4 linked regions of the Arabidopsis thaliana genome follow. The protein of the gene in region 4 interacts with the protein of the main gene of each other region in a biochemical or structural test. Each region holds a gene or a part of one and is shown on either strand. Other genes may lie near its edges.

What was found.
Region 1: of the proteins of MPK2 (region 4) and JMJ18, one has a biochemical effect on the other in vitro, tested with the Arabidopsis thaliana proteins (one large-scale study listed by BioGRID).
Region 2: of the proteins of MPK2 (region 4) and AT1G63100, one has a biochemical effect on the other in vitro, tested with the Arabidopsis thaliana proteins (one large-scale study listed by BioGRID).
Region 3: of the proteins of MPK2 (region 4) and LAF1, one has a biochemical effect on the other in vitro, tested with the Arabidopsis thaliana proteins (one large-scale study listed by BioGRID).

Annotation. Positions count from the first base shown.
Region 1 is NC_003070.9:10,936,218-10,943,515, reverse strand, and holds JMJ18 (Transcription factor jumonji (jmj) family protein / zinc finger (C5HC2 type) family protein), read left to right. Parts: upstream 1-1,547; 5' UTR 1,548-1,749; intron 1,750-1,935; 5' UTR 1,936-2,010; coding exon 2,011-2,046; intron 2,047-2,410; coding exon 2,411-2,497; intron 2,498-2,595; coding exon 2,596-2,673; intron 2,674-2,758; coding exon 2,759-3,475; intron 3,476-3,564; coding exon 3,565-4,098; intron 4,099-4,194; coding exon 4,195-4,768; intron 4,769-4,855; coding exon 4,856-5,139; intron 5,140-5,227; coding exon 5,228-5,377; 3' UTR 5,378-5,801; coding exon of another isoform or gene 5,802-6,521; 3' UTR 6,522-6,751; downstream 6,752-7,298. Other genes in the region: AT1G30814 (uncharacterized protein), read left to right, coding at 1-362, 456-509, 607-690; AT1G30800 (Fasciclin-like arabinogalactan family protein), read right to left, coding at 5,802-6,521. UniProt on the Arabidopsis thaliana protein: Histone demethylase that demethylates 'Lys-4' (H3K4me) of histone H3 with a specific activity for H3K4me3 and H3K4me2. No activity on H3K9me3/2, H3K27me3/2 and H3K36me3/2.
Region 2 is NC_003070.9:23,398,589-23,404,152, reverse strand, and holds AT1G63100 (GRAS family transcription factor), read left to right. Parts: upstream 1-1,976; 5' UTR 1,977-2,785; coding exon 2,786-4,762; 3' UTR 4,763-5,041; downstream 5,042-5,564. Other genes in the region: AT1G63105 (uncharacterized protein), read right to left, coding at 1-12. UniProt on the Arabidopsis thaliana protein: Probable transcription factor involved in plant development.
Region 3 is NC_003075.7:13,050,579-13,054,285, reverse strand, and holds LAF1 (myb domain protein 18), read right to left. Parts: upstream 1,784-3,707; 5' UTR 1,732-1,783; coding exon 1,605-1,731; intron 1,559-1,604; exon of another isoform or gene 1,518-1,558; coding exon 1,388-1,517; intron 1,308-1,387; coding exon 713-1,307; 3' UTR 544-712; downstream 1-543. Other genes in the region: ACYB-2 (Cytochrome b561/ferric reductase transmembrane protein family), read left to right, coding at 73-399; AT4G25550 (Cleavage/polyadenylation specificity factor, 25kDa subunit), read right to left, coding at 3,413-3,484, 3,568-3,678. UniProt on the Arabidopsis thaliana protein: Transcription factor that promotes photomorphogenesis in the light by participating in the transmission of phytochrome A (phyA) signals to downstream responses. Probably acts by activating expression of light-induced genes.
Region 4 is NC_003070.9:21,882,032-21,886,586, forward strand, and holds MPK2 (mitogen-activated protein kinase homolog 2), read left to right. Parts: upstream 1-1,986; 5' UTR 1,987-2,176; intron 2,177-2,478; 5' UTR 2,479-2,489; coding exon 2,490-2,912; intron 2,913-3,004; coding exon 3,005-3,712; 3' UTR 3,713-4,020; downstream 4,021-4,555. Other genes in the region: ZCF61 (E3 Ubiquitin ligase family protein), read left to right, coding at 3-127, 208-303, 380-520, 609-674, 750-862, 949-1,080, 1,167-1,210, 1,318-1,396 and 1 more.

The sequences.
Region 1 (7,298 bases), about 11 Mb from region 4:
CGCAAGTTTACCGGATTGTTCCTCCTCAAGGTAACGGGGTAGCTCCTCCTCAAGATAACCAAGATGGTCCGCGAAGTTACCAAGTTGTTCCTATTCCTCAAGTTAACAAGGATCTTCCTCAAACTTACCACCTTGTTCCTTGTCGTAACGGAGTTCCTCAAGTTAACCAAGATCCTTCGACATTTTACCAAGTTGTTCCTCGTCAAGTTAACGAGGTTCCTCCGCAAGTTAACCGAGTTGTTCCTCGTCCAGCTAACGAGGTTCCTCCGCAAGTTAACCGGATTGTTCCTCCTCGAGTTTACCAGCGGAGGAACCGTGCAGCAACTGCTGAAACTGAATCAACTGCGAGTTCTTCTTTCAATGTGAGTAAATGTTAAATCTTATCTCTCTCTTTCTCTTAAAATGTACTAGCTACTTTCTTTATAATAATAAAGTGCTTTTACCCCTTTTTGCAGCAAAAGCCTGAGATCATTGTAGTTGAATACCCTGATGATTCTGTAGCTGAAACTGTAAGATTATATACAATTCTTTTGCCTTTTGAGGTGCTTGTAATTGATTCTTGAAACGTTTTTTGAAACATTGTGCTTTTTGGTTGTGTTTTGTTAGGTGAGAATGGTTGCAACAAAGAGAGTAGTAGAAGTAGAACAAGACAAGACAGAAGAAGCAGGAAACAAGAAGATTCGTCTCTAATCGATTGAAAGTACAACACAAGACTTGATTAAAAGTACCACAAATTTGCATCTTTCTTTTGTTTTACACATTTTGTTTCTTTTAGTTTTCCTCAGTTGATCAAACTCTCATGTGGAGATGTTTTTGTCGTGATTTATTTTATTTCTAATAAGATTCAAGAACCTTATTTTTATTCTACAATTTGACTTCTCTGTACTTTCTGATCTATCTCAAAAGTATAGCTACAAAAAATAATAAATACTAAATTACGGGGACGAAATAATGAAACTTTCATCTCCATTTCCTTTAAAACGACGCGTTTTGGATAAAAAAACGAAACGGTCAAACTCTTTACTTTTCCGACGCGGAGAGAAACCTAAAACCAAAGACGACGTTCGACGAACGATCACGGAAGAACAACAAATGGCATAGAACCGTAAAATAAACAGAAAGCTGAGGGTAATTCAGTATTTTCCGCATAAATATTAGATCATCGTACGGTACGGTGTGGTGATCAAACGCTGATCCGTTAAAAACTCTTGAGAGTGCGTTTTCTTTGGCGGGTGTTCTCTAACTTCCTCGTTTCTCCAGATTCTTTACTTCAAATCACTCTCTTGTCTTTTCTCTGTCTCAATCTCTTATTTTTAAATATTCACATACTTCAATTTTCATGGTTTTTATTTTTTTTATCTAAAATTATATAATATTTGATAGAAAAAAAAAGAAGATTCGTATAACATCATCAGAGATAATCTCAAATACACTTCTTCTTCTTCTCGAAATCTCAGCCGTTCGTTTGTGGTAATCTCCTTCTCGACTTTTCCTTTTTTTTTTTAAACCTCTTTTGTAATTTTGTAGTAAATAATATTTTTAAGTTCCTTATCGTGGTTAAGTTCGGTTTGTTTTGTTTTATAATGTGTTCCTTCTTATTCGTCGTTACTACTAGGTCAATTAAATCTCTTTCTTAAATTTTCCCAGATTTGGGTATTTCTAACTTTAACTGCGAATTCAATTCTTATAGCATTAATTGGGCCAAAACAAAAGAACCAAAAAACTTTCAAGCTTTTTCTCCTTTGATAGGTAAAAAAAGATTGATTTTCATGAATTTAAATATCTGTGATTTTTGATGTTCTTGTTATTGTTCCTCTGTTTGTGAATTCAATTAGGGTTAGGAACTTTTTTTTTTTTTAACTTCTCTTTATTTTGATATATCGATATTTGTTTTTGTTGATAACATCGTTTTCTTATCTTTTTTTTTTTTCTCAGTTTCATTGGCTCTCAATCGAAGAAAACTTTTAGCTTACAAAATCTGCTTTGAGTAGTATTGATTTTTCAATTCATATGGAAAATCCTCCATTAGAATCTGAGATCAAAGAGGTGAGTTTTTCGATGTTTAATTCGTGTCTCAATCGATTAATTACTGTTTTTCTTGTTTGTTTATGGTTAATTACTGAAGATTATGTAACCTTGAATCAAAAACAGTATTGATGTTTGGTTTTTATTCATCATAGATTTGTATAGAGTCTTTTGTTTTCCGGATCTCGTTTGTTTACTTGATTTGGCAAATTACCTAATCACTGATCATAGATCCTCTTCGTCTTTGAATTATAGACTAGTTTTGTTGTTTATGCTTGATCTTTGTAACGCTGATTATAGTTTCTAGGTCTGTTTAATCAAACACATATTCATATATTTGTTGTTCTTCTCTAAAAATAAATTTATGTGTGTTTTTAATATACAGGATATGTCTTTGAAGAATCATCCTCCAGACAAGGATAAGGACAAAGACACTATCATGGAACAACCTAGTAGTCCACGTCATCGGAAGGTAATATGATGTAATCTGATGCAGAATCCAAAAACTTATATAAATCTTGAAACAAGTTTTGTTCTTACATAATGTTTTTTTTTTTGTATATGTTAAAGGTTGTTGCTAGATGGTTACCTGATGAAGCACAGAGGCCAATTATCAATGACGCTCCCGTATTCACTCCATCACTAGAGGTACTAATTGCTTTGTTGTTTCCATGATCTTTTGTTGATGTTTTTGAGTTCTTGTTCGTTAATTTCCCTCTTTATTGGTTATCAGGAGTTTGTAGATCCACTTGCGTATATCGAGAAGATACGTCCACTAGCAGAGCCGTATGGTATCTGTCGAATCATCCCACCATCGACATGGAAGCCTCCTTGCCGGCTTAAGGAGAAGAGTATATGGGAGCAGACAAAGTTTCCTACTCGGATTCAAACCGTAGACCTGCTTCAGAACCGTGAGCCGATGAAGAAGAAACCGAAGAGTAGAAAGCGGAAACGGAGAAGAAACTCGAGAATGGGTTCGTCTAAGAGACGATCTGGTTCTTCTCCCGCTGAATCGACTTCATCACCCGAGGCTGAGGAGAAGTTTGGTTTCAATTCTGGTTCAGACTTCACTCTTGATGAGTTTGAGAAATATGCTCTGCATTTTAAAGACTCGTACTTTGAAAAGAAAGACTCTGGTGGAGATATAGTAAAATGGACACCGTCTGTGGATGATATAGAAGGGGAATACTGGCGGATAGTTGAGCAACCAACAGATGAAGTGGAGGTTTACTATGGAGCTGACTTGGAGAATGGGGTGCTTGGAAGCGGGTTTTATAAAAGAGCCGAGAAGTTTACCGGTAGCGATATGGAGCAGTACACATTATCTGGCTGGAACTTGAATAACTTACCACGGCTTCCTGGCTCTGTACTCTCTTTTGAAGATTGTGACATATCCGGAGTTCTAGTTCCATGGCTATATGTGGGAATGTGTTTTTCATCATTTTGTTGGGTAAGTACACTTTCACTCTTTGATTTTATTATAAACATTTTTTCTCTAATGTTTGGATGTTTGATGTGATATTTCTTTGTCTTGAACAGCATGTGGAGGACCATCATTTATATTCACTTAACTATCATCACTTTGGGGAGCCAAAAGTATGGTATGGTGTTCCAGGAAGCAATGCAACCGCTCTCGAGAAGGCGATGAGGAAACATTTACCTGACTTGTTCGAAGAACAGCCTGATCTACTACATGGCCTGGTTACTCAGTTTTCTCCTTCAATACTGAAAGATGAGGGAGTCCAGGCTTACCGGGTCGTGCAGAATTCAGGGGAGTATGTATTGACATTCCCGAGGGCGTATCATGCTGGATTCAACTGCGGTTTCAACTGCGCAGAAGCGGTTAATGTGGCTCCGGTTGATTGGTTGGCTCATGGACAGAACGCTGTGGAACTATATAGTAAAGAGACAAGGAAGACTTCTCTGTCTCACGACAAGCTTCTTCTTGGAGCAGCTTATGAAGCGGTGAAGGCTCTTTGGGAACTCTCAGCTTCTGAGGGAAAGGAAAATACAACAAATTTGAGATGGAAGAGTTTCTGTGGGAAGAACGGGACACTTACCAACGCGATACAAGTAACGAAAAACAGATACTACTTGAGTCATGATACTGAATATAGTTTTCACTTTCTAATGCTTACTTTGGTTCATTTGTTTTGAAAATATTGACAGGCTCGGTTACAAATGGAAGAGGGGAGAATTACAGCTCTTGGTAGGGATTCTTCAAGCTTGAAGAAGATGGAGAAGGACTTTGATTCAAACTGTGAAAGGGAATGTTTCTCATGCTTTTATGATTTGCATCTCTCGGCTTCTGGCTGCAAGTGCTCTCCCGAAGAATACGCGTGCCTTAAACATGCAGATGATCTTTGTTCATGTGATGTGAAAGATGGATTTATTCTTCTCCGGTACACAATGGATGAGTTAAGCTCGTTGGTCAGAGCATTGGAAGGGGAATCAGATGATTTAAAGATATGGGCTTCCAAGGTTTTAGGCATTGAACATAGTGATGAAGATCAGACAAAGACTAGTTCAGTTATCAGTGAGGAGAAGAAGTTAAAGGAAGGTTCTTTTGATCTGAACATTGACTTAGAGATGGATTATCAAGAAGACGTTAAAGAAGAAGCCAGCACTAGTGGCGGCGAGTTAACCGCCTCAGAGAACCTTGGTGTATCGGTCGAGCCTATAAACCTCGGGTTCTTGATTTTTGGAAAGCTTTGGTGCAATAAGTATGCTATATTCCCAAAAGGTACTATCTTTGAAATGCTCTTTTGTTAATGTTACTTGATCAAATTTGCTGAAATGGTTGTTGATGTTTGTTTTACAACTTTAACAGGATTCAGGAGTCGTGTCAAGTTCTACAATGTTCTTGATCCAACAAGAATGAGCAATTACATCTCTGAGGTTTTGGATGCAGGACTCATGGGTCCATTGTTCAGGGTTACTCTGGAAGAATCTCCAGACGAGAGCTTCTTCAATGTCTCTGCACAACAATGCTGGGAAATGGTGATGCGGAGAGTTAAAGATACATCAACAAGTCTTGGTCTTCCTATTTTACCACAGTTTGAGAGTATCAACGGGCTTCAAATGTTTGGTTTCCTCTCACCCTCTATAGTTCAGGTAAGAAATCTAAATCCAAGCCTTGTTCTTCTTCATTAAAAAGCTATTCATGATGTTAACTCTTACACAACTTAACGCTTCTCTACAGGCCATTGAAGCTCTTGACCCAAACCATCGACTAGTTGAGTACTGGAACCACAAGAACCAAACTTCATCAGACTCAAAAGATCACTTCATATCATCAAACTGTTCCGCAAGTTTAACCAAAGGAAAACTTTTCGGAGTAGATTTGATGTAAACAAAAAAGACTGTACCAACTCCGAGACCAACAACAACAACAGAAACAACAATGACATATCTTTTAGATAGATAGAGAGAAGAAATTTCTTTCTGATTTTTTTTTTTTGTTTTGGGGGCATTTATTATTCATAATCTTTTGTTCTTATTTATCATAGCAAGAACAAATAACCTAACCTTAGCGTTAGTGAAGTGTAAACTAGAAAAGAAAAGTCATAATAATAGAAATTCTTCTTTCAAAAATCAAGAAAATTTGCTATTGCTTAATGTGAAAAACTTTACATTATGTAACAGAGTTTCACAAAATCTTGAAAAAAATTAGACTTTGAGTCTAAAAAATCTTGTAAAGACAAAAAAGAGATATTTCACGCCGTTAGTGGAATCTTGACGGTTACTTCGCCGGAAAAAGTCGCCGGAATGTTGAGTCAGAACAGAGCCAGAGTCGCCAATGGAAGCAAGAACGAGCCAGTTGAGAAATGTACTGTGGATGCAGAAGCAGAGGTTTGATTGGTGTCACTGTTGGATCCATCGGGATGACGACGGCGACTAGAAGGCTGAAAAGGCCAAGGACGGAGACTATCAGCTAAAGTAGTATCACCGGTACCAAAATCGCCGTAACGTGAGAAATCAAGAGACGAAGCAACGCCGTGAATAGCAATTGAAGAAGAGAGGAAAAGATCCGGTTCAGAGACAAGAACGCCGTCGAGTGCGTAACCGGGAACAGAGTTGTTAGTGACGACGATTGTGTTTCCGGGGAGAAGAGTCGGAAGACGAGAGAGTGGTTTGAAGAGACGAAGATCTGTGAAGGAGAGTCGTTGAGGTACGATGTGGTAAGCGACGGAGAGACGACGGGGATTAGCGTTGTTGTTGCCAGTGGTGGAGGAAGAGGAGGAGGAGATATCAGCGGAGTCGAAATCGCTTGGGATGAAGATAGTGGCGGAGAGAGGGATACCGAATTGGTCATCGACGGCGGAGAGAAAATCTGCGGCCCAGTCACGGAAATCTCCGGCTCCGATCATTGCTTCGATGATTCTGTCGGCGTGTTGGTGATCTTGGGACGTGAGATACGCTGGAGAAGCGGCGGAAGTGAGGAATGTGACGGTGGTGATGAGGAAGAGGAGAAAGAGATGGCTTGAGGTGGCCATCGGAGATTCAAATCGGCGGCGAAGTTGTAACAGAATGAGAGAGAATCTTTTTGAGTTCGTTAGGATTCTTCAACAATGAAGAAGAACTCTGTTCTTCTTTCTTTATTTATATACCTCTTTAGTTAAATTATTAAGAGGATGGATTAGTTAAACCGGTTTTCCGGTTTGGTTAAGTGATAAAACCGAGACTTTGTGTTGAAAAGGAGACTCCTTGAAGGCCAGAAGAGAGCAAAAAAAAAAAAAAAAGGAACCACCTTTGAATTTTTGCAATTCTCTCTGATTTCTCCACCACCAAAGTGATTATATAGTTATGAATATTGAACACAATTGCTTACATGCCGTATACAATGCATTATCTGCTGCTACTGTCAAAACAGCTCTACTCGTTATGAATATTGAACACAACCCCAGCCTTGTTCGTGCCCGGGGGAGTCATATTTGTACCCGACCCCAAAGAGAAAGGAAGCTCAAATGTTAGGTTGGGCCAATCATGTGTCTTCACATCCTCTAATATCCATAAATCAAAACTTTGGAAAATCATGTTTTGTTTGTTATTCTCCTTAACATTGTTGGACATAAATTAAAAACTCATTTGAATCAAAACGTAAGATATCTCTTTTCGAAACAATGGAAAACTAATAGATATCTAACATAGTATTTATTCAATTTATTAATTACTACACCAGTGATCTTTATTACAGTTTCATACCATGATATTACCATCAATTATTTATAGATGATCAACGGTGATATATAGAGATAGATAATACATTAAAG
Region 2 (5,564 bases), 1.5 Mb from region 4:
AGTGGCTTTCATGTAAGCTGTATAGAAATAGTCTACATTCGTCCTTGCTTTCTTGGCTTTGGTGTTTATCTCTGTATAAATAGATTGCATCTTAAGAACCAAAAACAAAAAAGAGTTATTGAGTTTTTTATATAATACGAATAAGAGCTAGCTAGAGAGAATTGTGATGATGCACATCCTATATATATACACACGTTTAACAACTTGATTAGCAAGTTCAATAACTATCGCAAAAGTGCTTTATTCGCTCATAAGTCATAATCAACCTCCCAATTTTTTTTTAACAAAGTATAGTTTATGTGTACACGCTTAATTAAGCCACCCTCCCAAGCTTAGTGTTTTTTTCTTACTTTTTATTCATCAAACTCAAAGGAAATGAATGATCTAATTCAAAACTAATTATACAAATGGAATTCCACAATGCACAATGAATGGTTAACGTGGGAGGGAATTATGTACCTTTATATCGTTTAAGAACAATCCTTTTAAGATACAATTATTTTCTTATTTGCATTTGGTTTAGCTTTCATGCAAAGTTTATTTTCTTTTTTTGGATAACGACTTTTATGCAAAGTTCTCTATTAATATAGCTCTTATCCTGTTATATCATCTGTATATTGTAGCATGATTTCTTACAGAGCACATGATAACAATCCAAAATAAATATATGTGTATATTTGTGCTAAGTGTATCTATATATAATTATATATTATTCATTAATATATATGTTAATATCTACTTTTATGTGTATAGTTTAGATTTTGTACATAGATTCAGATTTGATTTTTAGTCTAGTGATTAACTAGATTATGTTCATACTATTTTAGTGTTTCCTAGAAAATCATTACAACCCAAATACTTATCTAAACATCTTAAGATAGAGTTTTAAGATGTTAAACCTAAAAGGTCCTAGTGTTAATGAATGAAAAATATCAATTATTAGGGAAAAGATACTAGAAATTATATACATCTTGAATTAATCATTACCATTAGATTAAAATGTATTTCTAAATAGTTTCCAAATATTTACCCTATTTCTTATTCTTATTTATCAGTAAAATTAGACAACATTTTGATACAAAAAGAAACACATTTTGCCCATCTTTATTAATAGGCTTATTAAAAAAAGGTTTATTAAAAAGCCCATTATATTTGCTAGTAAAGCCCATTAGTTTTGAAATTTTGTAAGCTCTTTATGTTTGTGAAATCTTGCTTATTTGTTTCATAGCTATTCTTTGGTTGCGAATTTTGTTGAACCTTAACCTAGTGTGGAAGCAATGCCGGAACCTCTAATTTTTTGTTAACGCAATTCAAGAAACTCTAGGAAGGCCAGAAACTCTAATTTCTTGTGAATGCAATTTTACACAAGTTTCAATAAAAAAAAATTGATGCTTAGTTTCGATTTCTGGTATGTTCCATGAATATTGGGTTTTTTTTAGACGTTATAAAATGTAAAACTTCAAAAAACATTGACATACGACAATTGAATAAATTGAATTAGTATTGGGGAAGTATTTTGCGTAGAAAAATGGTACATGTAAATTATTGGTATAATAAAACAATTATAAAAAGATTTAAGGGGATGCGTAAGAAAATCATAAACAATCATTCTTACTAATATAGAGAAGGAATTAGTAAATATATTTCACAAAACTGGCAATATTTATTAATGACAGATAAATTTAGTACCCTAAATAGTTATTTGGACTTTGTACAATGATCATTTGTTTTTTTACTGCGAATGTGTCATAGTCTAAAAAAAAACAATGTCATTTTTTGGTGGGTGTATTAAAAAAAGTCGTTGTTGGCTTTCCCAATCAGAAGTCATTGATGTCCGTACACACCCAACACTCTCTTCTTTCTTCCTCTCTCCCAACGGTCATATTTCTCCGACAATTCACAAACGGTCACCAATTTTCTACCGTTTGATTTTAAAGATCCAACGGCTCAGATAGATTCAGATCCCTCGTGTACCACTCACTCTGCCCAACTCTAAAAAACAATTACTGTAAAAAGAAAAGTCGCCAACTTCAATTCTCGAAGACCCAACAAGAAAACAAACTCTAAAAAGTTGCCTCCACTATGGTATTTGTAGAAGCTGTATAGTATCTCTTAACCCCTGTAGAGAGTTAGAGAGAGAGAGAGAGAGAGAGAAACCAAAAGTGAGTGAGAGAAACAGATAGAAGTGAGAGTGAGAGTGAGAGAGAGAGTGAAGAAAGTAACAATCTTTGAGAGTTTTTGGATCTTGATCTTGTGTTTCAGTAATCTCCTAGTGATTGTCTGATCTGGGTTCTTGTTGATTTTGGGTTTCTGGATGTTCTGAGAGATTTTTCTTGATTTGGCAAAACCAGAATGGCAAACCGGAATGGTGAACCGGGTTTACAGCAACTCTCAAGTCTGTTTATCCAGCAACTTCGAGGTCGTTCTTCAGTAGTCTCTGTTCGTGATGATGTGAATTCGTTGGTCGTCATTATCATCTAAATGAGATTTTGTTGTTTTTTATAAAGTTTAAGGAATCCGATGATTGTTTTATGGTAGATTGATTTGATTTAGTTTAGTTCGATAATTCTTTCATTCTTTATTTGATTATATAGATTCGTTGGTTCTTTTGGGGCAGGGGATTCAAATTCATTTCATTCTTCAATTTTTTCATATAGGATTCACTTTGATTTCACTAAAACCAAAAAAAAAAGATTCATCGGATTCCATTTTTTTAATTGTTTGAGCAAACACACACACACTTGTAGACCATCTCTTGAATTGGGTTAGGTAGATTTTGTAGAGGATGTTGGCAGGTTGTTCGAGTTCATCATTGTTGTCGCCTACTCGAAGATTGAGGAGTGAAGCAGTAGCAGCAACATCAGCAACAGTATCAGCGCATTTTCCCATGAACACACAGAGATTGGACTTACCATGCAGTAGTAGCTTCTCTCGCAAGGAAACTCCTTCTAGCAGACCACTTGGAAGAAGCATCTCTCTTGACAACAGCAACAACAACAACAACAAACCGATCGAGCGCAAGACGAAGACCAGTGGTTGTTCGCTTAAACAGAACATAAAGCTTCCACCTTTGGCAACAACAAGAGGAAATGGAGAAGGGTTTTCTTGGAACAACGACAACAACAACAGAGGGAAGAGTTTGAAGAGATTAGCTGAGGAGGACGAGTCTTGTTTGAGCAGAGCGAAGAGGACAAAATGCGAAAACGAAGGTGGTTTCTGGTTTGAGCATTTCACTGGCCAGGATTCTTCTTCACCAGCATTACCTTTTTCTTTGACTTGTTCAGGTGATGATGAGGAAAAGGTTTGCTTTGTGCCAAGTGAAGTCATTTCTCAGCCTTTACCAAACTGGGTTGATTCGGTGATTACGGAGCTAGCTGGTATAGGCGATAAGGACGTTGAGAGTAGCCTTCCTGCAGCAGTTAAGGAAGCATCTGGAGGATCATCTACAAGCGCATCATCCGAGAGTCGTAGCTTAAGCCATAGAGTACCAGAACCTACAAATGGCTCAAGGAATCCGTACTCACACCGCGGTGCAACAGAGGAAAGGACCACCGGAAACATCAACAACAACAACAACAGGAACGATTTGCAGAGGGATTTCGAGCTTGTCAATTTGCTTACGGGATGCTTAGACGCGATCAGATCAAGAAACATAGCAGCGATTAACCATTTCATTGCAAGAACCGGTGATCTTGCTTCTCCTAGAGGAAGAACACCAATGACTCGCCTCATAGCTTACTACATTGAAGCTTTGGCTCTAAGAGTGGCGCGTATGTGGCCTCACATCTTCCACATCGCACCCCCTCGTGAATTCGATAGAACTGTCGAAGATGAATCAGGAAATGCATTGAGGTTCTTGAATCAAGTAACCCCAATTCCAAAGTTCATTCATTTCACAGCCAACGAGATGTTACTCAGAGCATTTGAAGGGAAAGAGAGAGTTCACATTATTGACTTCGACATCAAGCAAGGTTTACAGTGGCCTAGCTTCTTCCAAAGCTTAGCTTCGAGAATAAATCCACCACACCATGTACGAATCACTGGGATCGGAGAATCGAAACTTGAGCTAAACGAAACCGGAGATCGCCTCCACGGATTTGCAGAGGCGATGAATCTTCAATTCGAGTTTCATCCTGTAGTTGATAGACTCGAAGACGTTAGACTATGGATGCTTCACGTCAAAGAAGGTGAATCAGTAGCTGTAAACTGTGTCATGCAGATGCACAAGACACTCTACGATGGAACCGGAGCAGCAATTAGGGATTTTTTGGGTTTAATCAGAAGCACAAACCCAATAGCTCTCGTTCTTGCGGAGCAAGAAGCAGAACACAACTCAGAGCAACTTGAGACACGAGTTTGTAACTCGCTAAAGTACTATTCAGCTATGTTTGATGCAATTCACACGAATCTTGCTACAGATAGCTTAATGAGAGTCAAAGTTGAGGAGATGTTGTTTGGGAGAGAGATCAGGAACATTGTTGCGTGTGAAGGAAGTCATAGACAAGAGAGGCATGTGGGTTTTCGTCATTGGAGGAGGATGTTGGAGCAGTTAGGGTTTCGGAGTCTTGGAGTCTCGGAGAGAGAGGTTTTGCAGAGTAAGATGTTGCTTAGGATGTACGGATCTGATAATGAAGGGTTTTTCAATGTGGAGAGGAGCGATGAAGACAACGGCGGTGAAGGCGGACGCGGCGGTGGAGTTACTTTACGGTGGTCGGAGCAGCCACTTTATACGATCTCGGCTTGGACTACCGGAGGGAATTAAAGTTTGAAGAAAAAAAAAAAAAAAAATTATACATTTAGGGTTTTAAAGACTTTTAGAAAAAGGGGAAAATGTTTTTTTTTTTATCAAAGAAAATAGGGAAAATATTGATTTTATTCTTTCATTCATTATTTGGGAGCGGGTAGGTTATTTTTATAAAAAAATGTAAGAATTAAAAAAAATTATTTTGTATTAGTTACTTTGGAGTCTTTTACATGTAACTTGGAGGCTTTTGAATGTTTTGCTATCAATAATGAAACTGAAGTATTATTTTTCTTTACAGTATTTATTGCAAATATAGAAAGTTTAGTGACATATTTGTTTTATTAATTTTGGTAAGAAAAATATTCTATTATATTGAAGACAACAAATATTATGTTTGAAAAAAAAAATCACCACTGTGAATTGTGAAATGTGAATGTTGATATGGGCCTTGTATGAGGTCGGCCCATTATATTCCAGTAATTCTCATTCTCTACTCTTTGGTTTGTGGAATTAGTCTTTTCAAACTTTGTATCATTCATGGCTAGTTTTCGCATTGATGAATTTTTTTTTTTTAATAAGACTAGTCAAGTCATTTTCGCCAGCGTTTTGAAGTAAGTTAATTAGAAATATCACTTATTTATTAGTATTATACTACAGAAAATAGCCATCATGCTTAAGAATTGTTGAAGACAATGACCAATTTTCCATAATTTTGCTATGTTTATAACTCAATCAACATCATTTTCAAAAACTAGTTCATAATGTAATTTAATTATTGAAAATATATAACAAAAAAATCTATGAAATATATCTATAGTAG
Region 3 (3,707 bases), on a different chromosome or scaffold from region 4:
TTCTATGGAAAAATGTTTTTACCTATTGTTGTATATTGTTCCTGACCAGAACAAGAGTTTTGAACTTTACAGTGGGTGTACAGCTTCATAGTGTTCTTCTTCCCAGGAGGATCAACAAATTTGAAAAGCGGATTGCTTCCGTGGCACGCAATGCTTGGCCTGTTTGTTTACATACTTGCTGTCGGGAATGCAGCTTTAGGGTTTCTGGAAAAGCTGACTTTCTTGGAGAATGGAGGGCTTGACAAGTATGGATCCGAAGCATTTCTTATCAACTTCACGGCCATTATCACTATTCTCTTTGGTGCCTTTGTGGTACTCACTGCTTCTGCTGAGTCTCCTTCTCCTTCTCCTTCCGTCTCCAATGATGATAGTGTTGACTTCAGTTATTCTGCTATATAAAACACTTTCTACATTCCACGTTACATCTGTATCGCCCCTTGTACTCTCAAAACTCCATTTATGTATGATGCATTTGTAGCGAAAAGCTTTGTGTGTTACGGCTTTGCTACTTCTGGTGTGTAAAATCTTCAATGATATTGATGAATCTTTTAAATCATTTTCTTTTCTTTTCTTTTCTTTCATATTGCCATTCCTTTAACCATATATGCTATTTGCCTTATTGGTGTCAAAGCATTTAAGACAAAACAAAAAACAAAACATTTTTTTTCCGGTTTTGCCTTAGAAATTTGATTTACATTACAATAAACGCAATTTACGTCGTTGTTGATGGAGAAAAGAATTCAGCAGAAGAATTACAATCTGAAGCCTCTCTATAAATATGATGCTCCTGCTTCTTACATTTGGAACCAAACACAATGTCGTTAAGAGTCCAGTTGCTGTTGTTGATCATCATTTCGTTGTAATGGAACTGATCAACATCACCCATTTCTTCATAAGCTGAGAGAGTCTCTTCGACATTTGGAGCTTGACTGTGCTTAGAGTCGGTAAACTCAGAGGAATAATCGGTGTGGGGATATGAAGAAGAAAGCCATTCAGAGAAGAAAAGCCTTGGAATCTCAGGAGCAGAAGAACATTGATGGCTGTTATTTCCGTTGCTTTCTTGTGAGGGAGATGAAGATTTGTTCTCTAGAAGTCTCTGGAAGGAGAACACGTGATTCGAGATCAAGGTTTCCGGATTTCTTTTTCCACAAGCAACAAGTGATGATGATGAAGACGAAGGAGGGGAAATAGATTTTGCATCTTGTAAGCTCTGAGACTTGAGCCATTTCTTTTTCAAATGAGAGTGCCAATAGTTCTTTATCTCATTGTCTGTTCTTCCCGGTAAGAATTTAGCTATTTGCGACCACCTAATTACACCTAAATCATTAGTCTCTCTATAACTAGCATCTGCTAAAACAATAGGGTTAGGTCTTAGAGATACACTTACTTGTTACCCAAGGAAGAATGAAACGTCAAGATAGTCTCTTCTTCTTCTGCACTAATCATATCCCTCTTTAACCCTGGTCTTAGGTAATTAATCCATCTTAATCTGCAGCTCTTCCCATTCCTTTGTAACCCTATCAAATTAAATCCCAACAACAATTATCAAAGTTGACTCAGTTTGAGAAACTAAAAACTAATAAAGAAGAAGATGAAAGAGAGACCAGCTTTGATGGGAACAGTGGTCCAGCAAGAATGGCCATAAGAGAGGATGAAGCTCCTTAGCTTCTCGTCTTCTTCAGGTGACCATAACCCTTTCCTATGTCTCTCTCCATATTTCGTCTTCGCCATTTCTCTTTAGTCAGCTGTCTGTCCTGATACAAGAAAACATGTCTCAATACTATATATGGTGATTGAGACAACATATATATCACCAAACGTCCACAGATAGAGCCTACATACTTGGTGTTAAGAAATGACCAAATGGGCCTGCTTAGAGTAAATGACAAATGACATATATATTTCTATTTTTATGAAAATTTGGGATATAATTTATGTGTTAATTTCTTATGAGTATACTGTATGCATTTGTATAAGCAGTGAGGAGAAAAGTCATAATGGAATATGTAAGGATTAATTAGGTGTCAAAAGTCTGCTTGGATAAATTTAAATTATTGATATAATGTTCCAACTTAAAATAAATTAGCAATTTTCAGTATATATAAGATTTGAGATTCCTACCTATAAAAAAAAAAAAAAAGAAGAATCTTTGCTTGTTTTTGTTCTTTCACTTTGTTTTCTTATTGTTTGTTTTCCTTATATTTACTTCATTTATAATGGACGATGCCTTAAGAATTTACACACTAATCAGATAACATCTTCATATCCAAAAATCTCTAAAATGTCGGCAAGAATTTTATATTAACGACTTCTTTAATTTATGTTTAAATCGCGTCAATGAGTTTTTTGGTTAGAAACGATCATCCGGGTGGAATAATCTGTCTGATTCAATCCAATGATTGTGAATAATGAAGTAATGATTATAGAGAATCATCCAATCTGTTAATCTTTTCGTAAAGCATCATTAGCAAGCAGACAAATTGCATTTGCTAATACAAGTACTTGAAATAATTATTATATGATTTGAGAGCTCTTTTTCTCTTAATTATAAAATTTTGTAGTGAAGTCAACATTGAGCTCCTATTTGCTGCTAGTAATTATTTCATATTTTTTCCTCTCACGATGTTTTTCTTACATTCACACTGACAAGTGGACCAATAATAAGAGTTATTTGAGGAATATTGTGAATTTCAACAATTTGAATTCCTTCTGTCCCGATCGAAATGGCCTGTCCCAATTTTAAAAATACTCTGATTTTGTTTTTTACTTGTTGGCTCTTTTGGCCTGTGGAAAATGACGAGTAAAGAAAATTGAGAGGGAAACAATAAAAAAGTGTCTACCTTGTCTTGGTCGTCTTGATAACATAATATAATTTGCCGTCAAACTAATCCCCAATGAAACACGACTAATAAATTTTATACATCTAATGTTATGATGACTTAATCCTTAGCCCTCGGAGAATAAATTTTATACATCTAATGTTATGATAACTAGGATACTTTAGATTGTTCGTCTACAACAAAACTTCTCCTCCTTCGACCATTAGGCCTTGTGGTATGTTGATAAAACTTTATGAAATATGTTGACAAAGAAGGTTAAACATGGCTTAGTTTTATGCACCAAAATAAAAACATCATTCAACATTGAATGAAACACATGTTTTACGGTTAGAGAAGACAGGCGTTAGTCAAACAATGACAAATGCTTTTAAAAATGAGATACAATAATCTTTGTTTTTTGTGCTGACACTTTGAACCGGTTCTACATAAAAGCCAACAAGTCTATAATGCAAAAAACCCAACTCGCATCATTGGAAAACCCCATCTCTAATCCGGTAGCTACAGCTCTCTACCGTACCTAAGTAACTTACCCATCTGATAGGTTCCTTGTTCTTGAACACACCGAGTCGAAATCACGAACTAATCATGTTGAAATGGAATCTGGATAGCTGCTGCGGAATGGTTGATATAACCGGTCCATATCTCTGTTTCAAGAAAATAATATACGGTTAGATGTTTGAGGTAAAAACCATTTTCCAAAGGTTGGTATTCTGGATATAAGCAAAACCTGAACATTGTCATAGAGTTCGAACAAAGGGACGGCCAAGAGCTTCAAATTTTTGGGCACAGCAAAGTACTCTTTCTCAGACAAGTGAACAATGTAGAGTCTCTTGCATTCCTGCCATTCCACAAAAAAGAGGAGATATA
Region 4 (4,555 bases):
AGAACAATTAGTAGAAGTAGAGAGCAAGGTGGTACCTTTGATCATCGCAGTATCAGGAGATGTTGGCTCTGAGACTCCTATTAAGTGTGAGCATAGTTATGTTCTCGGTGTATTTCTCAAGAGAACGGTATGTATGAATTGGATTAGATAATCTAGTTTTTCGTTTCTGTGATTTTGGATATGTTAAAAAGAAACGATTTTTTTCAGGCAGAACAACAGGTTTTGAGACGTAATTGGAGATTTTCATGGGTTCGAAATAGTACATTGATGCAGCCGATGACTAAGGAAGTCCCCTGGTATCTGGTATGTCTGTTGGACTTTGATTGGAGTGTATTACTTTCTAAAGTCATTTACAAAATATGATATTGGTTGCCTATAGGACGACGGGACAGGTCGTGTGAATGTAGATGTATCTCAAGGTGAATTAGGCTTGGCGTTGACGGTTGGTAGTGATGTATTTGAAAAGGCAGAGCCGGTATCGCTTGTTCAAGGAGCGTTGGGTTATCTTAAAGGCTTTAAGGTCTTTTCTTTTCCTTTCCTACCACTTTTCATTGATTTGCTTTTGTTTTGACAATGCTTATACATTGTGGCACCATTGTTGTCTATAGATACTTGGAGTAAGACACGTTGAGCGTGTTGTCCCAATTGGTACACCGCTTACAGTTGTTGGTGAGGTATGTCTTTTATCTGTTAGCGGTCCAAAATACGTTTTATATCTCTCTTTGTTATGTTGCTTACCATGTTAACAGGCTGTTAGGGATGGCATGGGGAATGTCAGGATTCAAAAACCTGAGCAAGGACCTTTCTACGTCACTTATATACCGCTAGATCAGCTCATCTCTAAATTGGGAGATTTGTCAAGGTTGTTTCTTTTCTCTGTTTTTGCCTATTCTTTTCTTCGAAAACTATGATTGAAAAAAATTCTAAAAGATCTCTTTCTTTTGGCAGGAGGTTCAAGTATGCCTCCATGGGTTTAACTGTTCTTGGTGTGATTCTTATTTCAAAGCCTGTGATTGAATATATTCTAAAGAGAATTGAAGATACTCTAGAAAGAAGGCGGCGACAATTCGCACTGAAAAGGTATGACGCACCCTAACCACAGCCACGTATGAAGTATTCATTGCGAGTTGCGAGTTGCGAGTTAAGTGTTGGGTAACTTGTTGCAGAGTTGTTGATGCAGCTGCTAGGAGAGCCAAACCAGTAACTGGAGGTAGTAATAGTATCTATCCATTAGAGTTTGTACTTTGTAGTAGTAACATGTGAATCCTTTTTCTGCATACACTTGGAATTGCTCTGCTTACAAAAACGTCTTACCAGGTGGTACAAGCAGAGATGGTGATACACCTGATCTCTGTGTGGTTTGCCTTGACCAGAAGTATAACACCGCTTTTGTTGAGTAAGTATAAGACCGCTTTTCTTCTAAAAGCTCTTGAAAACCCTCTCACTGATCAAACATGGCATCTTTTGATTCCTCTTTTTGTTTGGTTTGGACTTGTAGGTGTGGTCATATGTGCTGCTGCACACCATGCTCCTTGCAACTAAGGACCTGTCCTCTTTGCCGGGAACGAATACAACAAGTTTTGAAAATTTACCGCCATTGAAGGACAAAACTCAGAACGATTTTTACAAGCGAACAATTACTAGTCTTGTACATATAGTAAAGCCTTTGTATCATGAGTTTTTGACTAGAAATTTTTTTGCATTGATAGATTGTGATTGAACAAATGCTAATATAAATTTCAAGCTTAGATTTACATTTACTAATGAAGTTATATAATCACGTTTCGATGTTAAAATAAGAAGTGAAAAAACGTGAACGGCAGGATTCGAACCTGCGCGGGCAAAGCCCACATGATTTCTAGTCATGCCCGATAACCACTCCGGCACGTCCACTTTTTGTTAATTCCTCACTATCTTAAATATCTAATTACCGTTAATTATTACAAATCAGGTTGGGCTTAATTAAGCCCAAAGTTAAAGACAGATTAGTGAAGGAGACAGAGAAAGAAACAGCTCTAAAATGGTAATGAACGAGAAACTAGAGAGTCAACGGTCATAGCGTTGACCAAATCTCTCACTCTCACCAGCCAAATCTCTCCAACTTCCTCTTTCTCTCCACCCAAATCTCGCCGGCGATCGTCACTGACGAATCTGATTCGTCCCCAACACTCAACGGGTAAGCTCTCTCTGCAAAATTCAGATCGTTCTAGCTCAATCTCAACATCGGATCAAGATTCAACTTTTGTTCTTTTCTCTTAAACAAAGCTTTTGATCATTAGTGAAATCTAAAATATTAACCTTTGAATCTGTAAACTTAAGCTTAGAGAACCCTAAGATCAAAACTAAAAATTTGATCTTTCATTGTCACTTGTTGGAAGCAATTCAAAATTCTGTGTTGTGTATATTTTCAAATTTGTGGATTGTTCCAATTTCGATAAAGTTTTGATTTTTATTCCTTTTGTTGTGTGTTTTTATAAGGAGGTAGAAGAATGGCGACTCCTGTTGATCCACCTAATGGAATTAGGAATCAAGGGAAGCATTACTTCTCAATGTGGCAAACACTTTTCGAGATCGATACCAAATACGTGCCTATCAAACCGATAGGCCGAGGCGCGTACGGTGTGGTTTGCTCTTCGGTTAACAGAGAGAGTAATGAGAGAGTGGCGATCAAGAAGATCCACAATGTGTTTGAGAATAGGATTGATGCGTTGAGGACTCTTAGGGAGCTCAAGCTTCTACGTCATCTTCGACATGAGAATGTGGTTGCTCTTAAAGATGTAATGATGGCTAATCATAAGAGAAGCTTTAAGGATGTTTATCTTGTTTATGAGCTTATGGATACTGATCTTCATCAGATTATTAAGTCTTCTCAAGTTCTAAGTAATGACCATTGCCAATACTTCTTGTTCCAGGTATGTGATTTGTTTGCATTTGCTTTTACCATTAGTGTGTGTTGTTTGCATTTGGTGTTTGCATTTACTTGCTTTTTATTTCTTTTGCATAGTTGCTTCGAGGGCTCAAGTATATTCATTCAGCAAACATTCTCCATCGGGATCTGAAACCCGGTAACCTCCTTGTGAATGCAAACTGCGACTTAAAGATATGTGACTTTGGGCTAGCGAGGACGAGCAACACCAAAGGTCAGTTCATGACTGAATATGTTGTGACTAGATGGTACCGAGCACCAGAGCTACTCCTCTGTTGTGACAACTATGGAACCTCCATTGATGTCTGGTCAGTCGGTTGCATATTCGCCGAGCTTCTTGGAAGAAAACCAGTATTCCCGGGAACAGAATGTCTAAACCAGATTAAACTCATCATTAACATTTTGGGTAGCCAGAGAGAGGAAGATCTCGAGTTTATAGATAACCCAAAAGCCAAAAGATACATAGAATCACTCCCTTACTCACCAGGGATATCATTCTCTCGTCTTTACCCGGGTGCAAATGTTTTAGCCATTGATCTGCTTCAGAAAATGCTCGTTCTTGACCCTTCGAAAAGGATTAGTGTCACGGAAGCGCTTCAACATCCTTACATGGCGCCTTTATATGACCCGAGTGCAAATCCTCCTGCTCAAGTTCCTATTGATCTCGATGTAGATGAAGACGAGGATTTGGGAGCAGAGATGATAAGAGAATTAATGTGGAAGGAAATGATTCATTATCATCCAGAAGCTGCTACCATAAACAACAATGAGGTCTCTGAGTTTTGAGATCAAGTCTTTTGCAGGTACTGTTCAGAGAGATCTTTCAACAACTTAAACTTATTTATTTTCATGTTTGCTTCTTGAAATGTTGTTAATAATAGTGTCGAAGAAGAAGAACAATAACTTTAAATTATGTGATATGTTTGTGTCATGGAGCTTTGTTTTGTTTTTGGTTACAAGCTTAAGTGTCTGTAACGTTTGTACATAAGTGTATGTGTCCTTAAAACTTCATACTCTGTCTCTGATCTTATTGTTGGTGATTTTTCTTATTGAAGATTTTCGAATGTTCAAAGAGCAAACCATTGGATTAAATATGATTTTGAAGATAAATGTATTAACACAAAGATATACACTGTTTAAAAAAATTCATGAAATAAAACATATGCATAGAATATCAAAATAAAATTATTTGGGAAATAATTTTCAATGATACATAGAATGTTCCATAGATTCGTAGAATTTTTATAAATGTGTTTTTGACTTTCATGTACCTAATTCTGAATTCAGACTTAGTATATTGTGACATTAATAGAAGTATTAATTGCTTTGTTTGATAAAAATATTTTGATGTCTATCACACACTTAAATTTAACTTAAATGATAGAAAAAATGTCAATAATTAGTAACATTTATGCTTTGGAAAAATATTTTGATGAACAGCGTGTGAATAAGAATCTTTTTTTACTTTTGTAAATGGAAAAATGTAGGACTGCACTAATTATTGAAACCATTGATGTGAAAAAAAAATCAAGAGCCAAAGAGATAAAGATTCTAGAAGACCAAGTCAAGTCTTCTCGTCGATTAATAGTCAATGAATGTTCCTCATCATCATCTCTTTGATTTATGCGT